Linked DNA regions of Diceros bicornis minor. The main gene of each other region encodes a partner of the protein of the gene in region 2 in a complex. Links are inferred from orthologs where the notes say so. Each region holds a gene or a part of one and is shown on either strand. Other genes may lie near its edges. The genes, in order: NDE1, RAB9A and SGSM1.

Region 1 (7,845 bases), on a different chromosome or scaffold from region 2:
GCAGGGGAAGGGGGCACACTGTCCCCCCTCCAGCCTGGTGGCCCTACAGTAGTGGGGCCCGTCAGGGACTAGTCCCCAGAGCTGCCAGCAAACTCACCTCTACCGCCAGCTCCACCTCCGCTCACATTCCGGCCCCGCCGCCTTCCCCCCGCCCCCCCCCCAGGCCCTTTGTTTTGATTCCCGACTCCGCAGCTCCCGCCGCCGCCGCCAAGCGCACCCTCCACTTCCGCTTCCGCACCGCACCTCCCCTGTCGCAAAACCGACGCCCTTCTTTCCCCCTCGCTCCGCCCCTTCCTCCGCCCTTCCCCCGCCGCCGCGTCCTCCCCGCGCGGGGCGTGCTGGGAACCCCGGGGGGGGCGGGGCCTCGCGGCCCTGCAGCCTCGTCAGGCTCAGTCCCCTCCCGATAAACCCCTAAATAGGCACCTTCCCGGGGGGCGACTCCGCTTTTTTGGGCGAAAACACCCAGTTTAAGGGGGTGTTCCCCCTGGCTTCTCGTTGTGGAGTGGAAAGGAACCTGAAAGCGGAGAATTAGGGAGCTTGGGAGGTGGAACCGGGGGAAAAACCCTGCCAACGGGGATTTGATACAACCCAGCCCTTTCGGTCTTTGGAGGGAAGGCGATTTAAATGGGATTTCGATGCAAAACCCGATCGTTTGGGCTTTTTTCCCCCTCTCTCGCTTTCTTGTCACGTGATGATTCTACTTTATTAAAAAAAATTTAAATGACGCATATTTTCCACAGCATCCTTCATCTAGTGCAGCCTAGTGGCGAGTGGAGAAAAAAATAGCCAACGGGGCTTCCCAGGAGGTCCTGCGGGCCGCGGGGCTCCTTGCAAAGTTGCGACCCAGCTGGCGAAAATAAAGTGCGTGCCAAGATTGGGCTGGCTATTGTCACCGACCATTAAGAGGTCCTCGTGACTTTAGGGAGAAAACCTAATTTTTAAAAGCCCTGGTCCAGAGCTTGTTACAAACGAGTACAACTTTGCCAGTGATAGGTTGGTTGGGCGAGCAAAAAGGAGAACTTAGAATTGCAAAAGCCTGGTGAAGCCAACAACAGCTTGTGTTTTACGTGGATAGATGTGCCACGTTTGCGGGGTTTTTTGGTTTTGCTTTTGGTGTTTAGCGCTTCCCAATCTTTACTTGTACCTGAAATAAATTTTTTTTAAAAAACTCCAAGCACAACCGTCATTTCTGAAACTGCCAGCTGCTCGCTATTTCCTGTTGCAAATTAAGGGAAAAACAAAGCACATATCTGAATCTAGACATAGTTTAGGATGTGCTAGCTGACTACTACGTACAAGTTCATTTCTGAAGTTTGCCAAGAAATAGATTAACTTTGCAGACGAGTCAGTAGAAATTGCCAAAAGAACTTTCTTCCCCCCCTGAAGTCGGCAGTGTGAGGCAATTTCATTAGGCAATTTGCATTAAGTGGGGGAGATTTCAGGGGAAGCTAATACATCCCTATAGACATCCTTACAGACATGTATTGTGGAGGGCAAGACCCAGCACGTAGCTGAAGAATCCTTTGTGCTTGTATTTCATTTTCCAGAACGCAGATGACAAGCACGCCCATCATCTGCTTGCTTAGGTATTTATTACTGCTGAGTAAATCTTCATTGTGTGTCTGTGTGGGCAGTATTTTCCAAGTGGGAATTAGAACAGATGAAAAACAACCCTGTTTCTAACGTTTTGGTTTTTTCAAGGTACCAAACAAATATGCTTCTCTTTGAAGGTGTTTTTCTTTCTCTTTTTTATTCTAGTTGAGTATCTCTGAACACAGACCCTATCAACGGAAATATAAAAAAGGAAACAAAGTAATTGTGAATTTTTTAAATTTCTTTTTAAAAAAAGGTTTTAGCCACAAAACATAATAAGAGCAGACACGTTTTATTTGACTTCACCTGGCCTTCTTTCAAGTCCAGAGCGGGGCCTGGTCTCAACAGGTGAGATGCAGGAAAGAAAAATGAATCAATCACACTAAATGGAACGCTAATGAAAAGTCTGAATTGCAAGTAATTTTTAAAGAAACGCAACTTTATTGTTTTCTATGGAGAACTAGCCTGGGTACACCAGCCCTTGGAAGCAGACCAAATCATATTATGAATCAAAACACAATTTGACATTTGTGAGAGTGCTTTAACGTTTTTCTTGAAATATTACTCTCTTCAGTATAGCCTCTGTTAATCTTATTCCTGGTTCTTTACTGGGCAAACTCTTTCATCAGAGAGTGAGTAACTTTCAGTTTTTTCCTTGTCCAAATTATAGTCTTCACATTTATGAAACCAGGATGAAGATTTATTTTTGTGCTATTTAAGTGACCCAGCTGCCACTAAAGGAGTTAATTCCCACAACTTCTCGTCTGCCTGTGTTAGGTTTAGTGGGTGGGTGTGTGTGTGTGTGTGTGTGTGTGTGAGAGAGAGAGAGAGAGATTAGCCCTGAGCTAACATCCATTGCCAATCCTCCTCTTTTTTGCTGAGGAAGACTGGCCCTGGGCTAACATCCGTGCCCATCTTCCTCTACTTTATATGGGACGCCCCCACAGCATGGCTTGACAAGCGGTGAGTCTATGAGCACCCGGGATCCGAACCAGTGAACCCCATGGCACCGAAGCAGGAGCATGCACACTTAACCACTACACCACCCAGCCGGCCCCAGGTTTAGCGTTTTGAATTCATAAATTATGATAGACATACTTAAGGAAGAGGAACAGAGGTCTGCTCATTCATATCTGAGAGCCACAAGGAAAACAAATTGAGTAAGAGAGGTAAAACTTTTAAAGTACACCAAAATTTCCTTTTCATTTCTAAGGTTTTACCTAATGACAAACCCATTTACCTAAACTCCTGTTCCTGAAAAGGACTTTAATGATAATCATTTCAATGTCCTCTCCCTTTTTTTAACGGAAAATGAAGGATATGGAAAATCAACCAGTTCAAATGACTTGATCAATGCCATTTAGTCTGATACCTCATCAATTTGTGCTTCAGTTTATCTGTAAACTGGGGTGATTACCCTCTGCCCAGAAACCTCACAGAATGGTGAGGGTCAAATAAAATTTTGGGGTGAAAGCAAGTATCAGAGCAAAAGTGTCAAGAGGGTGCAAATGATTTATTAGTATTTGGGACGCGGATGAAAGTTTCCTGAAAGACATTTTGGTACTTTCCTTAACCCTGTTGAAAGTAGGGGGTGGTTCCCTTTTGTGTCCCTGAGCTTTTTCAGGAAGCAGCAAGAGTTAAAACAAAGTAGAATTCAAGAAAGGTCATTCTTAATTTTTTTATTTTATTTTATTTTATTTTTTCCCGCAAAGCCCCAGTAGATAGCTGTATGTCATAGTTGCGCATCCTTCTAGTTGCTGTATGTGGGATGCAGCCTCAGCATGGCCAGAGAAGCCGTGTGTCAGTGTGTGCCTGGGATCTGAACCCGGGCCGCCAGCAGCGGAGCACGTGCACCCAACCGCTAAGCCACGGGGCTGGCCTGAGAAAGGTCATTCTTAACCATGGCAGGGAGGTAGGAGGGATTCTATGAGCGTGGTTGGAGGCCTCAAAGTAGCTAAGATCTCTTTGTCTCTAGCATAGTGCTGAAGCACAAGGGTGTAGGAGTCAAACAGACCCAGTTTTAAAGCCTGATTTGTTACAGCTTGTGAGACCTTGGGCAATGCATTTAACTTCCTGCACCTTTGTTTTCTCATCTTTAAAATGAGGACAATAAAAGTGCTTTTTTGTGATTCTCATCATTTGGGTCTCAGCCTCATCGTCACCTCCATAGAGCAGCCTACCCTGACCATCTGAAGTGACCCCCTCTAGCGCTTTCCTGCCAAATGACCTTGCTCTATTCATAGCACTTATTACCATCTGAAATTATTTTACTTTTTCTGTTTGCTGGTTTAGCGTCTTTCCTTCTTAACAGTATTAGCCCTTTGAGGACAGGCATCTTGTCTAACATTTATTGTGCCATAAGCAGGAGTGTGCAATAAATATTTGTTGGTGAATGATCAGCGTTGCTGTGAGAAATGAGAAAACCCACGTCAAGAAGTTAGCATTGTACCTGACACACATCACCAATTAAAAACTCAAGATCGTTTAACAAATGGATTGTACTTAATTATGTGCCAGGCACTGTCCCAAACTTTTTACGAAAGCTATCTCATTTAGTCTCTGCATAACCCTGTGAGGTAGAATCCTATCATGAACTCCATTTTATAGATGAGGAAACTAAGTCCCAGAGAGTATAAGTAACTTGCCCAAGATCACACAGCTCCTAAGGGGCAGAGCTAGAATTCAAAGCCAGGTTCGAGACCAAACTTCTGCAAAGTTTTGCTGCCTTTGAGAAAGAAGATAATGAGGTTGAAGATTTTAATTTGGGTGTGAAGGAGTAGGAAGGACATGGGGCATTCCTTAGCCTAAGCAGACCTGGATCTTTGTCCTTCCCTCTGATTTGGGGAAAGTGGAAAAATGGGGAAAATCTAATCGGTGACAAGGGGAGGAAGTCGTATTTTCATGAAGTCTGTGGCCCACAAGTCCAAGCCCATTCCCGGGGTGTCCGAGGAGCAGCCTGCAGGCTCCAAGGCCGGCCGGGTCCCAGCCCAGCAGCGGGAGTCTCCCAGGCCCCCTCCCGCCCAGGACCGCCGCGTGGCCGCGCCGCGCCCGGGGCCCTGGGAAAAAAGTTTCCAAACCGCGCTGCTCGGCGCTGATTGGCCGAGGCGGACGCGGTCCCGTGGCGCGGCAGCCAATGGGCGGCGCCGGACGCGAGCGCGGGGGCGGGGGCGGTGTCCGGAGCCGCTGGCCGCGCCGCTCCCCGCCGCCGCCGACGCCGCCGCCGCCGCTCCTGTCCTCGGCGCCCGAGCCCGGTAAGTGCGGAGCTGCAGCCGGCGGGGCTGGGAGCAGCGCGGGGGCCGCCGCCGCCGGGAAGCTCCTCTGCCCCGCCCCGGCGCCCGCTGCGCTCTCGGGACCCCCGGGCGCCGCCGTGCGGGGCCCCTGCCGCGCCCCTCGCTTGTGCATCGCTTCCCGGCCGCCCAGACTCCGCCGGTCCCGGGCGCTGGGCTGGAAAATCGCGCTGCCTGGGAGCCTCCTTCCCTAACTGGGTGCTTTCCCTCTCTTGTGTCCTCGCGCCCGGCTCCTCGCCCTTGCCAACTTTGTTTCCCTTTCAGCGCTGGTCTCGCTCGCACCCGCTGCCCTCCCCTCCCTCCTTGACTGCCTCGGTGCTTCTGCCCTCCGCGTCCTCAGTCGCCGCAGCCCGGCTCCTCTGCCCGCCCATTCCCTCCCACCGCACACTCCTCTCCTTGCCTCTTCTAGACTTTTCCAGCTCTGTTTTCTGCCCCTTCTCAGTCCCCGCCACGCCTTTCCTCCCGCTGCCCCCATTTCCCCCCATTCCTCGTAGCCCCCCTGCTGGCCCACCTACCCCCCCGCTTCCACCCTCAGCACAGGCCTCTCTCCAAAAACCTCCCCCCATCCTTGGCACTTCTCTCCCTTCGGGAACGTGTTTGGAACAGTCCCCTTCCCTGCGCTTTTCTCAGATCGCTGCCGCAGGACGGTTCCGATTTCCCTTGACAGCGCTCTGGGGAAGGGTTGGAGAAAGGATGAAAACGCCTATTCTACAGTTTGCATGCAGTGCCGGGCTTACCTGCCTCTCTGAGGTCATGGGAAACCCCGCCGTCACCTTGACACCGCTTTCTGGGACGCTACATTATCTCCTCCAGTCATCGCAGGTTCTCTGCCTCCTGAGGGTCTGAGCTTGCCTGATTTCTTTGTCCAGGGTTTGTACCAGGTTGTCTCTTTTCTACTTTTAGCCCAAGGCCCCTTTTAAGTTCACTTCTAAAGAAATGGCTTTAGCAGCGCTCGCTGGGCAGAGATTTGTCGTTTTCTATGCTAGTTTTGTTTGTGTATTCTGGGATAGCATGACATTTTAGGACATAGGGTGCTTTGAAGAGTAATTGAATCTCAGCGACTCCCAAGAGCCACCTGTTATCTGACCCCCCCCCACACACACACAATGGTATTGAACCACTTTTGAAACTTAAATCTTTCCTCTTAGTGTGTCTTTTGTGTCGGATTCCATCCAGATGCTCTATGTCCTTGAAGTCTCAGGGGCCTCTGATTGGTATGTTTTATTCCATTTTAGATAACAGTTTCTTAACTTGGCTTATTCTGTTAAGATGTTATTTTTGTTTCCAAAGTGTGTTCTTTTGCCTTAGAACTGTGAGCCCAGAGAGATTACACTCCCTTTCCTTACAAGATAATTTCCTACTAGCAGCACGCCTTCATACAGAAAGTTTGTGTCAGCAGCTAGTACTGTGTTTGCACCTAGTATGATGTAAGTGCTCTGTGCCTGCCTCTCCCAGTAGTGCCTACCACTTAGGTGTTCGGAAATGTCTGAAAAGGGATGGACGAGGGGGACACCACGGCAGGAAAAATTCTTTCCCTGGCATTTTGGTTCAGTAAAATAATATTATCCTGGAACAATAGCTATTCTATTTTTTATGTCCAAATTTAAGCTTCTTAAAATTTCACAAGCAATATATGGTCCCTGTAAAAGTCGGTGTAGGTAGTAGAGAAGGGTGTCAGGTACAAGTTGTCAACGCAGTGCCTGCTTTGCCCCCATTCTAGTACATCCTTCCAGACTCTTCTAAGTATGCAGAGGGAGGGAGATACATTTGTAAACAAAGTGGCATCCTTTGTTAACATATCATGAATTTTCTTCCATATTAGTACATATAATTCTTCTTAACTGCATAGTTTTCCGATCAGTGCTCTATTGAAGCACTCAGTGAAGTTTCTCTCATTTGCCATGTCAGTGAATGATGGTGTGCACCCCTGAGCAAATGTCTTTGCATACCTAAGGACTTTTGTGGGTAGATCATTACAGACTTTGAAAGCACAGACAGAAGCCAGACTTGCTGACTCTTGACTGATTCTGCCCCAGTGATGTCACTTCTGCAAAATGCAAAGCCTGTGTCATAACATAGAAGCTGTTGGAGCACGTGCCAGCATTTGGCAACTTTTTTCCGTTCCTCCCTTTCCCTTCAGCTCTTCCTTGTGTTTTCTTTGGGAAGGATTGGAGTTGGGGTGGAGAAGGGTGGTGAGCTGATTCCCTATGGTTTCTACTTGTGTGTTGCTCCTTACCAGCTGTGCTGGCTGTCTTCACTCCGACGAGAGCCAAGAAAGATTGCTTTGTTTTTTTCTAGAGTTTTGAAATCAAAGGTGTGTGTCTCAAGTGTGTTTTCAGACTTTCCTGTTAAATTCAATCATGGAAGACGTGCAAAAAAAAAAAAAAACTTTGCTGAAACACATTTTTGTAGGAATAGCGGGTCTAAGTTATGCAAAATAGAAAATAGATACTTTCCGAACCACTTGATTCCAGTTTGTTCTTCCTTGAGTGCTGTAGCAGATACATTTGAGGTGCCCATTAGATTTGTCCATAGAGCTGCTTGGGCGCGATGGCATATTGAGAACCCAAGTTAGGAGGCCTGACACCTGTAGCACTGATGAAATAAATGCATGCAATATTCATTTTTAAGATCGTGGGTGCAAAGTTGTGTGTACCGTGAACAAGCGTTAACATCTGCCTGTCACAGTGCCTTTTAAAAGACAGTGTAAGCCAAATGAAAGGAGTGACTCTGATCAGTCTGCTTGCAACCCTAGGGAGACCTTGAACTTGAATTCCAAGACCCCTGTTGCACTTGGGTCTGGTTTGCCTCTGCCACTCACTTGCACCCATGGAGATGGCCAAGGCATACAGTGTTTCTGCTCCAGCTTCATCTTCTAAGAAACCCAGTGATTGCCTTGCTTACTCTTACAGTTGAATAGCTTCAAGAAGATAAAGTTGTTTGAAAATAACTTAAGTGCCCAGCA
Region 2 (6,938 bases):
AGGGCCTGAATCGATTGTATTCACCAAGGTAAGGTCATATGATATAAACACAGCTGGTGGATGGGAGCGAAAACGCAGGGAGGGTGCCTGGGGACACCCCCTGAATTCCTCCTCAGTCTTGTCTACCTCTGTATTCTCAGCACCTGGCATAGTGTATGCACTCACTATATATTTGTTGAATAAATAAGTATTAATGTGAAATGACTTTTCGTTTTCTGCAAATCTTAAAATTACCCAAGGGGAGAGAGTAGCTGTGTGTCTATGCTGCAGGTATTGGAAGGGTTTGGGCTGGTGTGGTGGTTACCCACTAACTTGGGAGGTGCCAGTTGGGTTGGTTCCTGACTCCCATGCTCCCCCTCTCCCGACAGTGGGCAGGCTGATGGAAGGAAGTGTATTGGTGGCTTTTGACAGCCAGGTGGCCATTCAGCATCAACCACTGGACGGAATTCATGGGACCCATGAAAGGATATATGCTCTATCATGATTGTGGGTCCATTTCCATTTGATCACATCAACCTGAAGATTGCAAATTCTGAAATTTGCTCACTGATGATATATAGATTAAGGGTGATGCTACTATTCCTTTTTTGGATTCAGTACTCCTTTTTAAACTAAGCAGTAAAGAAATCAGACTTCTGGTATTTCCTCATATATTGAGATTTTATCTGACTTAAGGATCAGGAACAAAAGTTCTGTATTAGTGTAAGAAACATGCTGAATTTAGTTTCAAGACAAACAGGAAGAGTGTGACATTGGCTTGAGATATTGACAATATAAATATATAAATACATATAAATAAATGTTAGATAAATATTTCAATATCTATTGAAAAGTTATATATTATAAAAAGTGCTTCCTCCACCAAATTGGGATTTTCCTCCATATACTATTTGGTAATGTTCTTTTTCACTTAACATTATTTATTGTTATCTATTTTCACTCTGACTTTAAAGCCAAATATAACAGATTTTGAATTACTTTTTATGCTTTTCTTCCTTCTTAGTACAGCTATACAAGAGCATCTATGCAATATTGAGAACAAATCTCTTATTTTTGCCAATGACTTGGGAAAAATATCAAATTTCTGATTGTTTAGATATCATTTAATGGTCAAATTGCCTACCATTAAGTTCTGTGTTTTTCCTTATATGTGAAAAGTATAATCAATTTAATTATAATCAGTATTTATTACACTTGAGTCTGGGGCCCACTTACTTGTGACTTTTCATCAGAGATACCAGAGGTGACTTCTTTCAGACTCCAGCTTGAAATGGGGTATTAACTCCCAGTGCTCATAGTAACAAGTAAGTGTCATTTAAGGGAAGGAATTGTAACCGAACTCAATGGGTCTGTCTCTTGATGAGTGCAGAGCCAAAAATCACGACAACCAAGGCTGAAGTGGATGAAGAAAAAAGGTTTATTGCTTGCACAAGCATTGGGGAACACCAGGGATAGTCCCCAAAGCAGTGCACCCCCCCAGCCCACCAGCTTAGTGCAGTTGAAGACTTGATACTCCAGAGTGCAGAGGATATGTTACAACTGTGTAACAACTGGGCCTAATCAGGGTGCATGTGCAAGCCGTTACATAACCCCGTTCAACGCCATTACACGATGAGCTCAATGTAACATGCCATTCCATAACAGGTCCAAGGTAACTTTTGGACGCTTCCCGCTGGAGCGGTTTGCAATGGTCCTGCTGCAACCGTGTAAGTTTCACTGTAGGATGGCAACATCTGCAAAAAGGAGGACATCAACTTCTGAAAAATAGCACATTTAATTTTCTCATTGTCTGGAAAACATTTGACAGACTATGTTTAGTTGCGGATCAGATTTTCATTAACTCTTTCCTTGCCTGGTTTCTGGTCATAGAATCATTAATGCCTAGCAACCTTGACCTCTTTTTCCTCCATGGGTGATGCATTACAAGTTTACAGAATATAAAGACGAATATTCTAATTAGATGAAGGGCGTCAAACTAGGTCAGTTCTTAAATGTTTTTTGTCAGTCAACAAATTCATGGAACAAGAGAGATAGAGACCATCTATCTAACTTGTGTCAGCTTGCCAACCACGCACACCCAACAACAAAAATCCCCCAAACTCACGCTCCAGGGACAAATCTTGTGACCCACCCTACTCTTGCGCTGTCAAATCAATTAGGTAAAGAAGTGAACAGTAGAAGAGACCAGAATATAAGAATATTCTTGTGTCAGTTGGCTAGTGTCCAAGTAATAGTTATTTCAGAAAAAGTAACTTTCCTCCTTCTTTCTTCAAGTGCTGACTATAAGCTACACTCTGATAGGTTTGTATGCCTCACTTACGTTTTGGAATAGCCTAGGAATCACTTGTAGGACCTTCTTAGATCCCTTTTTTGAAAACTCTTGGATTTCTCAAGTCTTACTACTTGAAGTCAAGATACAATAATTCCGTGAGAGCACTTGTTAATAGCTGGTTGGTATTAGCAGTTGCAGAGATAAAATCCTATTCCATCACTCCTTGACTATGATTATGACATAGGATTTTCAGGTAGCATTTTCTTAGTGATCCCGTGGATTGCTTGTTGCAATTTAGTACATAACACTTTATATATTTTTTCTTTTGGAAAATTAACTCTAATGTTCTTATATTTTTATTGCATAGTTTTAATTATGTGTTTTAAAATAAGGTAATGAATATCTCTTCCCCCTCCCTATTTTCAACAGATTTGTATTTTATAAACCTTTACTCATACGTCCTTGGGGAAATATCTGCATGGATAAAACATAGATTTTTTCTATAAAAGAAAAATTCATTTAAGCTCAAACTAGAGCTCAATCTTTATTACTCATTTATGCCTCATTTTCATGAGTATTCTAAAATTGTCTCTTATACTTGTGAGAAACTCTCTCAAATATAACCTTTCTAGTGCTGAATGAAAAGACTACATTAGATTCATTACCTGAAAATGACTCCCCAAAGAGCCAGAGGTTATTTAATGGTTGTGGGCCTAGCAAATCATAAAAGTGAGATGCTTCTCTTAGAAAATAAACTAAATCTACCCCACAAAATATATTGAGAGGTCACTAAAAGTCCTTCGGATCTCCAGGGGCCTATATCGTAAGATCCATGCGCGCGACCCAATCTATAAAGACAGGAATTAGAAGAGCTTCCCCAATACCGCCTTTTCCCATTACTGCTTTATATTTAGAGATGACCGAGGCAGTATTTTTTTTAAATTTTTTATTGATGTCATAATAGTTTATAACATTGTGAGATTTCAGTTGTACATTATTATTTGTCAGTCACCATATAAATGCGCCCCTTCACCCCTTATGCCCCCCCCAACTCCCCCCTGGTAACCACCAAACTGTTCTCTCTCTGTGTTAGTTTCTATTCTACATATGAGAGAGGTCATACAGTGTTTGTCTTTCTCTGACAGAGGCAGTATTTTAACAAGATTAAAGAAAAATTTTAAATTTAAAAAAGTTCCTGTTGTTCCACAATATCACAGCTGTTTTCATTTTTCATTTACCCTTTTGTTCTTTGCACATTCATTTTCTCATGGTAATCACAACATCCTTGTGATTGTGCTTATGCGATCTGTTTATTTCCACTCTATGTAAACTTTTAAAGATAACTATCATTTCGTGCTGTCTCTCTCCGGAACGCAGCCGGAGGACACGAGGAACCGCAGACCCCATGAAAAACCGTGCTTCAGAAAGGACAGGCGGTCAGGGAGTGGGCGAGGGCGGGGCGGACCGGGACCTCGAGGCCCCGCCTCCCCGGGCTCCATAATCTAGGCCCCGCCCCACCGCCACGGGCCCCGCCCCGCCTCTCCAGGGCTCCGCCGTCCAGGCCCCGCCCCGCCTCCCCGGGCCCCGCCCCGGCCTGTCGCCATGTTGTTCCCTCTGTGCTGGACGGGAGCAACTGGAAGCGCACACGGTTAGCGCCGCTGCCTCCTGCCCGCCAAGTCCCGAACCCTCTCTTCCTCGTTGCACCCAGACGGACCGGCCCGGAGCTCCCCGGCGTCCTCCGTGTGGCCGCGAGGTGAGCGGGGCGCGGACTCCCGTCGGGGCTGGGCGGAGACAGGGGTCGGGTGCGCGGGGCGTCAGGGCCTGAGGGAGCCCCGCGGGCGGCCTGGGCTTCGGGCAGCTGGGGCGGGGGGCGCGCGGGGCCTGCGCGGGTCACTCGTCCGCCCCGGGACGGGGGACAGCTTATCGCTCGCTGCCTCCTATTGACTGACGCAGAAGGAAAGAGGGGTTCCCACACCCACACACCCGGGGAGAGGGACTCACACCCAAACACGCGGGGACGCCCTGAGAGACGCCCAGACATCCGGGGGTAACACACACACACCTGGGAAAAGAAAGATCCACAAACAGGGACACACGACCACCCTGGGAAAGAGAGATCCGTGAACACCTGGGGACCCACACATAGCCAAACACCCAGGGAGAGAGAGACATACACGCAAACACCCGGGGAAACACACGCACAGGGAGAAATATACCCGTCACCCAGGGACACACCCAGACGCCCCAGCCCACCCAAACCAAACTCTACCCTCGAATGGTTAACGTAGAGAAAGCAAAGGCGCTCTCACAGTTTGATTTTGGTGACCTCTGACCCGCTGCCCAGGTGAGCGTTTGCTACTGTGTTCTGAGCACTCAGGTGAGGCGTTTGGAATGTAAAGCCACTCCTAGGGGCTGAAGGCGGTTTGGGGCGTTATCTGATTCAAACTCTGGCTAAGGTTTCCGAATTGTGTTCCTTTCTTTCTTCCAACTGACTACGTAAAGAGGCCGGATGAGAATTTTAAGTGCAGACCAGAGCTGTGGAGGTATTAGTTGGTTTTGTTGTTGGTGTTTTTTCTTTTTAAGTGATGACACATCCCGTGACCACGGTTCTTTTGAGGAATGACTTTTCTGCTGGGTTCCAAATTGTCACGTGACCATAATCTTTTTATAGAATTTCAGCGTCCTGAGAAAATCAATACACAGAATTTGATTGCTTTTTTAAAATTAAAAATTTTTTTTACATGTTTGTCTTTCTGTCTCTGGCACCTCTGTAATGGAAAAATCCCTAAATTTCCTGTAATCTCAGAAACTGTTCATTGGAGTAAAACTGTAGAGATGAAGGAAACCCAGAACTCTTCAGTCAGGGACTTGTAAGAAGAGTATTCTTAGTTTGTCTTTTAGAAGTGTCTGTTGAAGTCATCATCACTACTTGTCTAGAACTTTCAGTGACTTATTTAGATTCCCGAACCTAGGATGATGGTTTGGCAGTCTGGTGCTTTTTGTATTTTTGTGTAGACATTGTAGTAAATTCCTCTTGCTTATACTAAAAAGTTTCCGGCTTGTTGACTTGTTTATTTTGGAGTTTTGTGATTTGGGGATATTTTTGGTTTATCCTTTGTGAGGTTAGAGTAGCCCGAGGAAAACTAAGTTGAACATCATTGGCCTTGACTCCAAGCCGGCTTCTTGGAGAAATGCTTGGGAAATACTTTAGTGCTAGTTGCTCATTGCCAGCCTCTCTCTCTTTTCATTTCTTTCCATCTCAGCCACTTCTTCCATCTAGACTACAGTGCCCTGGAGGCCTGAAGATAGGTTCCTTTGGTTGTGGAAGTTAATTTTTAGCCTTCTCTCATTTCTTAGCATTTCTTGGGCAGCCACTCGGGCACTGGATGTTCTGTGCATGTAAATCCTGTAATATATCATTTCATTTAATTCTCACAACATTTCTGCGGTATTAGCTCCATTTTACAGATGAGGAATTTGCTGGAGTATAGGAGAAGTAGAACTGTTTCCCGTGGTCACACAGGTAGTGAGAGGGCAGAGCCAGGATTCAGTCAGGCCTGTGTGAGTTGAGAGGTGTAGTTCTCAACTGGGGAACATTTGACAATGTCTGCAGGCATTTTTTTTTTTTTTTGGGTGAGGAAGATTCGCCCTGAGCTAACATCCGTTGCCAATCCTCCTTTTTTTGCTTGAGGAAGATTGGACCTGAGCTAACATCTGTGCCCATCTTCCTCCATTTTGTATGTGGGATGCCACCAGAGCATGGCTGATGAGTGGAGTAAATCCGTGCCCGGGATCCGAACCCACGAACCTGGGCAGCCGAAGTGGGGCACACGGAACTTGAACCACTCAGCCACGGGGCCGGCCCCTCTGCAGGCATGTTTGGTTCACACCTGAGAGGGAGTGCTGCTGGCATCTAGTGGGTAGAGGCCAGAGATGCTGCTCAACATCCTACCATGCAGAGGACAAGCCCCCCACGGCAAAGAGTTGTCTGGCCCAATCTGTTACTAGTGCCAGGGCTGAGAAACCTTGCTTTACAGCAGTCTGTGTGACTCCAGAGGTAACGTTTCAGCACCTCTGTAATTCTTCAAATGCGATGCCGTTTTCCTATTTAGGATACCTCCCCATCGTTTGAAGAAAGAGCTGGGGGAAAAATTTGAGAACTTGAAGACGTTTCCCTTGACTAAGAGGCATATTCATTCATTTGAAAGATGAAGAAGTAAGCAAATAATTTCTGATAACAGAATCCTTTTTTTTTTTGTTTTAAGGCAAAAGTGTCAAAGAGAACTTGAGAGCCGTTCCGAGCCGTTCCGAGCCGTTGAAGTAGACTTAGGGAGTTTGCTTTCTGTATTATTCCAGTTGTCAACAGACATTTTCTGAGTATCCTGTGGGGCACTGATACGAAGCTGCTGGTGATATGAAGGGCAGTGGGCAGTCCCCACCTCCCCGAAGCTTCCAGTCTAATTACCATCATAACATCAGGTTTTGATTTTGTCCTAGAACAAAATTTATTGCCCGGGCTACTCAAAATCAGGGGCCAGGTATCATTAAAAACAAACAAACAAAACAGCTGCACACCCACACACAGGTACCTGTATCATGGCATTTACTGTGGGCGGACTTAAGTGGGGAAAAGTTGATGTGTTTTTGATAGCTTTGCAGGTTGACC
Region 3 (7,767 bases), on a different chromosome or scaffold from region 2:
CTAGGAATAAACTTAACCAAAGAGGTGAAAGAGCTGTACACGGAAAGCTGAAAGAAATTGAAGAAGACACAATGAGATGGAAAGAGATTCCGTGCTTTTGGATTGGAAGAATTAACATAGTTAAGATGTCCATACTTCCTAAAGCCATCTATTGATTCAATGCAATCCCTATCAAAGTTCCAACAACGTTTTTCACAGAAATAGGACGAAGAATCCTAAAATTTATATGGAACAAGAAAGGACCCCGAATAGCTAAAGGAATCCTGAGAAAAAAGAACAAAGTTGGAGGTATCACACTCCCTGATTTTAAAATATACTACAAAGCTATAGTAACCAAAACAGCATGGTACTGGCACAAAAACAGACACACAGATCAATGGAATAGAATCGAAAGCCCAGAAATAAACCCACACATCTATGGACAGCTAATCTTTGACAAAGGAGCCAAGAACCTACAATGGGGAAAAGAAAGTCTCTTCAACAAATGGTGTTGGGAAAACTGGGTAGCCACATGCAAAAAAATGAAAGTAGACCCTTACCTTACACCTTAAACAAAAATTAACTCCAAATGGATTAAAGACTTGAATGTAAGACCTGAAACTATGAAACTTCTAGAAGAAAACATAGGCAGTACGCTCTTCGACATCGGTCTTAGCAACATCTTTTCAAGCACCATGTCTGACCGGGCAAGAGAAACAATAGAAAAAATAAACAAATGAGACTACATCAAACTAAAAAGCTCCTGTACAGCAAAGGAAACCATCAACAAAACGAAAAGACAACCTAACAATTGGGAGAAGATATTTGCAAACCATACATCTGATAAGGGCTTAATCTCCAAAATATATAAAGAACTCATGCATCTCAACAACAAAAAAACTAACAACCCAATTAAAAAATGGGCAAAAGACCTGAACAGACATTTCTCCAAAGAAGATATACAGATGGCCAACAGACACATGAAAAGATGTTCAAAATCACTAACTATCAGGGAAATGCAAATCAAAACTACAATGAGATATCACCTCACGCCCCTCAGAATGGCTATAATTAACAAGACAGGAAACAGCATATGTTGGAGAGGATGTGGAGAGAAGGGAACACTCACACACTGCTGGTGGGAGTGCAAACTGGTGCAGCCACTATGGAAAACAGTACGGAGATTCCTCAAAAAATCAAGGATAGAACTACCATGTGATCCAGCTATTCCACTGCTGGGTATTTATCCAAAGAACTTGAAAACACCAACTTGTAAAGGTACATGCACCCCTGTGTTCATTGCAGCGTTATTCACAATAGCCAAGACTTGGAAGCAACCTAAGTGCCCATCAAGGGACGAATGGATAAAGATGTGGTATATATACACAATGGAATACTACTCAGCCATAAGAAACGATGAAATCCAGCCATTTGTGATGACATTGAGGGTATAATGCAAAGTGAAAAAAGTCAGAGGGAGAAGGTCAAATACCATATGATTTCCTTCATTAAGTAGTAGATAATAACAACAATAAACAAACACATAGGGACAGAGATTGGATTGGTGGTTACCAGAGGGGAAGGGGGGAGGGAGGAGGGCGAAAGGGATAATTCGGTACATGTGTGTGGTGATGGGTTGTAATTAGTATTTTGGTGGTGAACATGATGTAATCTATGCAGAAATAGAAGTATAATGATGTACACCTGAAATTTTTACAATGTTATAAACCAATGTTACTGCAATAAACAAAAAATTAAAAAAATAAAATAAAATAAAATGGAGATAATGGGAGGAACCTACATCATGGGGTGGTTTGGTGAATTAAATGAGATAATACGTGGGAAGTTCACAGCACAGTGCACGACACATTTAAGTGCTCAATAAATCACAGCCATTATTATCATTGTCACACTATGAATTGTGAGGTCCTGCGTTGCGCCAGTTACCAACGTATTGCCTCTCAGCTCCAGATTCCTTCTTCAGCGCTGACTCCTCCGTAAGAGGCAGGACTTCGCAAGCATTTATGCTGAGCACGATGCGGAGCCTTCTCGGTAGAGGGCGCTAAGGGACACTGCAGGAGAAGCCTGTCTCATTCGTTCTGGCGGCCGCACGGGCGGCCAGCGGCGCGGGTATGAGGCGTAGCCTGGGCAGCATGGGTCAGAAGATGGGATTCTCAGACCCTGGGGCAGAAGGCTTTGGGACCCTTGAACATTTTTGCGCTCAGGCCTCAAGGGAGAGTCCAACTCTTCCCAAGCTGATCTTCGGTGATGGCGCCCCTGGTGGTGAGCGGTCCAACTGCAGCGGAGAGAACCGAGCTCAGACACCTGAGCAAGCTCTGATCCCGTCCGTGCCCACCTTCCTGTGGCTGTTAAGCCGAACACCGTCAAGTCCTTTATCTTGAAAGAAAAACTCCAGGTTTTCAGGGAAGGACCCGCACAGGTCAACTTCCCGGGCTTAGTGCTTGGCAGGGAAAGGAAAAACGTGGGTTTCGAAAAATGGCTCCCCAGAGTGAGACTTAGGCAGCCTGCTTTTCTCAAGTACCCCGGTTAACTTAGGGGTGCAGTCGGGGGGGGGGAACACCACTGGATCAATCTCGGGCCTTGAGGTTAGAATTCTGGCTGCTGCTCATTTGCTGTGTAAGCTGGGACAAAACCCTCTGTAGGCTTGGCTTTTTTTTCTCCATGAAATAAAAATCCTGGGGGGGAGGGGGGACGTGGACAATAAGATCATCCAAGCAAAGCCTGAAGCCCTTAATGTAGTGGCTGGCACATAGCGGGTCCTCAATATATGGTTATAATATACGGGGGGCAGAGGGGTGGGAGATTTGCTACCAAGCAACCATTTTGCATTCTCAGGGCTCCTAGGGGATTCACCACACCCTCACTGGAGATAGTGGGGTGGTAGGATTGTGAGGGAGACTACCCTCCCCCAGCGGGGACAGGGATGTGTCCCAGGCCGGGCCAATCAGACGCTCCCTCCCTGGAAGGGGAACCCTAAACAGATGGAGCTCTTTTCACCTGAGTGGTGGTGCCCTAACCACACTGTCTCTGTCAGTGACTATTCCCAAGAGTCTCTCCTGTCTTCTGGAGTGGCCTTGGTTTCATCCCATTTCTGAGTTCTCGAGGCTCCCCTGGACTCGGGGAATGCCCATTATCCTTCCAGTTTATGCCCTTTTGCCTAAGTTAGACCAAGTCAGCTTCTGTGGCTTATGGCCAGAGACCCCTGAGACTGACAAATGGAAAAGAGGGGACTCTGGATCCACCACTGCAGGGAGAGGGCACACTCTGAGCTGTCCTCAGTCCTTCTGAAGGGAGGACTGAATACTGGGAGGCCTTTGGGGGCAGGATGCAAATCCTTAAAGTGGACTTCAAGGCCTTACAGGACCTTGGCCCACCACTGTCCTCCCTGTACATGCCACTCCAGCCCCACTGGCCTCCTAGCTGTTTGTCACACGCAGGGGGCACACCTCCACCTCAGGGCCTTTGCACTTGCTGTTCCCTTTGTCTGGAATGCTCTTCCTCCAGAAATCCCCACAGCCCGCTCCTTTTCCTCTTTGCCCCAATGTCACCTCCTCAGTGGGGCCTCCCTCAACTGCCCTACTTCAAAATACAAACCCCACCCCTCTGGGCCCTCCCTGTCGTCTTTGCCTACTTCATTTCTCTCCAGAAACTTCCAACACACGATAGCATCTGCTTATTTATTTTGTTGTCTACCTGCCAAGCCTCATGAAGGCAGGCTTTTTGTCTGTCTTGCTCAATTCAGTATCTCCAACACAGTAATGTGGCACATAGTAGGTGATCAATAAATATTTGTAGACCTGCGTTGCATTCTGGGTGGACGCAATCATGAACTTGGCGGAACAAGCCTCAGTCCCAAAGCGCCCATTGCCTGCCCAGCCCTGGAGATCCTGGCTGACAGGTGCCCCTACTGGGGTCTGGGAGGCCCTCACTCTCCCAATGACCTGCATATCGGGGAGGGAGGGAGCCACTTAAGGACTGGCCTCTCTTGGATGAACAGGCAGTATGCCTTAGAAAACTCTCAGTAATAATAATAATAATAATAATAATGATGATAGTAATAATAATAATAAATTAGTGGTAATAGTAGCAGCAGCTATCTTTTATGGTGACTGGCCTTTGTTTCTCAGGTCTGTGCTAAGCACTTTACATTCAATACCTCATTTAAGTCTCATAACATTCCTACGAGGGTAATCATATTATACCCATTTTAAAGAAGAGAAAACCGAGGCTGGGAGAGTGTCAGTAGCCGCCCCGCCATCTCCCGCCACTTTCTGGAGCCTGGCACAGAACAGACATTGGAGAAATGATGCTGTCCCTCCCTGCCCCAGATAAGGGCGGGACGTGGGGCGCTGGGCGTGGAGGTGGGGGTTCCCCGGGAGGCCCGGGCGGGATGGAGGGCGCGCGTCCGGCGGGAGGATGCTCGCGCGGTCCCCGGGGCCCCGCGGCGGCCGTCCGGAGGGCGGGGCCCCGCGCGGCGGGCCCTGACGTCACTCGGCGCTCGGCCCCGCCCCGCGGCCGCAGCTGCGGAGCCGGCGAGCGGAGCCGCCGCCCGGGGCGCGGATCGCACGGCCCGGCCATGGCTGCGGGGCTCGCGGGTGAGCGCGCGCGGGCGCGGGGCGGGGCGGGGAGGCGGGAGGGCAGCCCCGGGCCCCGGCCCCAGCCCCCGCTGACCGGCCGCCCTCCCGTCTTGTCCTCAGAGGCGGAGACCCGGCAGAGGCTGCTGCGCACCGTCAAGAAGGAGGTGGGTGCCGGGGCGGCGGCGGGGGCGCGACCCCCGGGGCAGGGGGAGAGGTCTCCCGAGGAGGGGCGGCCCCTGGCGGCGGGGGCGGCCGCCTCGGGGGTGGGGCTCACCGGGGTGGGCATTTACCTCCCGCAGGGCTGGAGGCGGATGAGTTTGGGGGTGGGGGCCTCAGGTACGGGGGGCTCTGGATGTTTTTGTGCTGTGTGCCGGGGCACGTGCAGCTGCGGCCCCTCCAGGTGTGCGGCACACCTGGCCGTGTCTGGGTAGGACTCCCTCCTGTGGAGGAGCGGGTGGGTGGGTCTCACTAAGGGGAGACAGGCACCTGGGGGGCAGACAGGCGTGTTGGGGGGAAGGCTGCAGAAGGAGGACCAGAGTTCAGAAAAGGGAGAAGATTCACTTTGGGAAAATCAAGTCTCCCCCCATCCCCCTACCCCACCCCCAAATTCTCAGTCCTTGGACGCCCCCCAGGAGCCAGGAGACTCCCTCCCAGAGAGTCCCTGGTCAGCGGGTTACTCCATTTGCGGGCATGTGCCCACGCTCTCCTGGCAAGCAGGGTCCCTTCACCCCCCACCCCCACCCCACTCACGCAGGAGGGTGAGAATCAGACAGGGTCCAGCTGCCCCTCTGCCCCTTCACTCTCCCCAGGGGCAGCCGGGAGCCCAGTCTAGCTTTAGAGTTCATTGCCTATGACTTCCCACAGAGGGGGAGCATCTATATTCATGGGGGCTGGGGGAAGCATTTAGATGCCTGGACTGTACGTGTGCGAGTGTGTGTACGAGCGTGCACACGCCTGTGTGGGTGAGGACATGTGGCTGTGAGCGTGTGTATCTGACATTGTCTGTGCTTCTGTCTGGAGATATCTGTGTATCTCTGTGTATTGTGTGTACATGTGTCTGTGTGTTCACCTGTTTTTGTGAGGATGATGTGTATCTGTGTGATGCAGGAATGTGCATAAATGAGTGAGGCTGTGACTGTGTGTGTGTGCATTGCCCTCCTCACGTTACCCCACATCCCTCAACCCCGGACCCCATTGCTGCCGAGCCTGCGTCACCTCTGTATCTTGAGTCCTCAGCCCGAGACCTCACATGGCTGCAGACCTTGGAGGCTGGCTTGATTCCCGTGCCTCTGTGTGTGTTGGGGGTGTTAGCACACGAGAAGCCCCTCCCTGCATGATGGCAGGCAGCCACCAAGGGCAGCCTGTTGCTGCCTCTTCCTCCTCTGGGATCGTGGGTGTGTGTCTGTGTGTATGTCTCTGTGTGTCCCACGTTGTTTAAAGAAACAGCTCCAGGACTGCTTGCACATTCTAGCATTTCTGAATAAGGAGACATACAGGATACAGAAAGGCCCAGAACTTTTTAGCTCAGCCTTGGGAAGAGACCCCTGCGGGGATCTGAAGAAAGCTCTGTCTAGACCCTTTTTCCAACAAAACCTACAGACGCACAACATTCTGATGACTGTTCTGGGGGAGATTCCCCCAAAAGCCTTCAGGTTAAAAACCTGCAGTCTCTTTATTCATTGTTTAACTGAGCCCAGGTGTAATACGTGCTCCCCAGATGTTTTCACCTGAAATGGCTGTGTTTTTAAGGACATGGTTGGCCCATTCAATTGGGAGGGGGGCTTCAGGCAGAAGAGTGTGTGACCAAGGTGTCTGGGGAGGGCAGTGCTTCCCACCTCTGGGCAGGGTTCTGGGTCCCTTGGTGCCCTGGACAAGTCCCTTCCCCTCTCAAGGACACAGTTTCCACATCTGGAGAAGGAAGCATTGGTTCAGTGTCCTTGGAGGTCCCATTCATGTCAGTCTGGTTTGGGTTATTGGCCAGGCCGTGGGGGACACTTTGCCCCTGGTGGCCAGTGGTCTGGGCCTGCGTCCCCTCTCCTGGGAGCAGCGGAGTTTGGGACTTGGAATGAGCCGAGGCCATCTCTTGATGAGAGGGACCTCTTGGCATCCTGCTTGGTGCCTGAGGGAGGCGGGGGGCCTCAAGTGCCCATTGACCCTGGATCTGCAATCAGAAGGCAGGACATACAGTCACACGTTGGTGGCTATTTCTCAATTCTCCATTTCTTGGGGCACATCATTTTAGTAATCAGAGCTTCCATTTACTGGGGGGTACTCTGTGCCCTACCCTGTGTGTGCAGTAACTTTATGAGGTGAGTGAGGTTGTACCCATTTTCAGACAAGGAAACTGAGGTTCGGAGGGGAGGAGTGAGTTGCTCAAGAGCACGCAGCCAAGAAGGCGCGGAACCAGGGACTTACCCCCGGGTCTGTCTGACTTCAGAACCAGGCTTTTACATGCCTATCCACGTCTACATAGCGCACAATCTTGGCTTGTGTGGGTCGTATAATTTCCATTGTATAGATGAGAAAACCGGCCCGGGGAGTGTAAGTGAGGGCACAGTGAAGGGGAACAGGTTCAAGTCTTCTGTCTGTGAGCCTCCTGTTTAGCATGGCTGCCCCTAAGGGGATGGCGACAAGTCCGTGTCCCCCAGAGCAGACCTCCTCTCTCCGCTCTTCCTCTGCCCACCTCTTTGGGGAGCATCTCTCCCAATATCAGAGAGCCAGTCTGCAGTGGAGTGGTGAAGGGAAACTCTTTGCCTAGAAATCTGGGAGGCCTCAGGTCTTCTTTCTCCCCACCTTCTGGGTTCAGAGGAACTACATCCCTGCCTGTCACAGCCTCGCCCGGGGGTGCCTCCCGTCCTTTCTGGAAGGGGTGGCCTGAGAGTCAGTTTCTGTAGATAAGCCAGGCAGGTCTGCAAGCTTTGCCTGAGCCGATGAAGCCACAAAGGCCGGCAGAGACTGTGGGGCTGGGGGAGCCGGTGTGACCTGGCACCACGAAGCGGATCAGGAAGGAGCTTTGGGCTCAGCCAGAGCTGGGTTCAAATCCCCGTGCGTTTATTTACTGAGGGGCGTCTGTGTGCCAGACACTGGGCTGGCCTCTGTGGATACAGCAGCGAACAAGATAGGCCCTGTTCTCTGGGGGCTTACTTTCCAGAACAGTAGACAGAGCCTGACAGCCATCCCGAGCTTAATT

The links.
Region 1: the proteins of RAB9A (region 2) and NDE1 are in contact, whole or in part, in a crystal structure (PDB 7E1T), measured with the Homo sapiens proteins. The link is inferred for Diceros bicornis minor from reciprocal best matches to the Homo sapiens genes RAB9A and NDE1. Residues at the interface, in NP_001182257.1 of Homo sapiens: Ile40, Val42, Phe44, Asn46, Gln59, Trp61, Arg68, Phe69, Ser71, Leu72, Pro75, Phe76; in NP_001137451.1 of Homo sapiens: Asp99, Gln102, Thr103, Ala105, Ile106, Gln109, Leu110, Tyr113.
Region 3: the proteins of RAB9A (region 2) and SGSM1 are in contact, whole or in part, in a crystal structure (PDB 4QXA), measured with the Mus musculus proteins. The link is inferred for Diceros bicornis minor from reciprocal best matches to the Homo sapiens genes RAB9A and SGSM1. Residues at the interface, in NP_062747.1 of Mus musculus: Phe37, Thr39, Ile40, Gly41, Val42, Glu43, Phe44, Leu45, Trp61, Arg68, Phe69, Leu72, Phe76; in NP_766306.2 of Mus musculus: Leu256, Leu257, Tyr258, Gly259, Lys260, Asn261, Asn262, Tyr277, Asn294, Met297, Asn298, Gln361.

The regions. Positions count from the first base shown.
Region 1 is NC_080765.1:35,288,470-35,296,314, reverse strand, and holds the start of NDE1 (nuclear distribution protein nudE homolog 1), read left to right. Parts: upstream 1-4,829; 5' UTR 4,830-4,844; intron 4,845-5,522; exon of another isoform or gene 5,523-5,750; intron 5,751-7,845. UniProt on the Homo sapiens protein: Required for centrosome duplication and formation and function of the mitotic spindle. Essential for the development of the cerebral cortex.
Region 2 is NC_080781.1:11,085,155-11,092,092, forward strand, and holds the start of RAB9A (ras-related protein Rab-9A), read left to right. Parts: upstream 1-3,885; 5' UTR 3,886-4,025; intron 4,026-6,938. UniProt on the Homo sapiens protein: The small GTPases Rab are key regulators of intracellular membrane trafficking, from the formation of transport vesicles to their fusion with membranes.
Region 3 is NC_080774.1:19,412,879-19,420,645, forward strand, and holds the start of SGSM1 (small G protein signaling modulator 1), read left to right. Parts: upstream 1-4,697; 5' UTR 4,698-4,741; intron 4,742-7,767. UniProt on the Homo sapiens protein: Interacts with numerous Rab family members, functioning as Rab effector for some, and as GTPase activator for others. Promotes GTP hydrolysis by RAB34 and RAB36.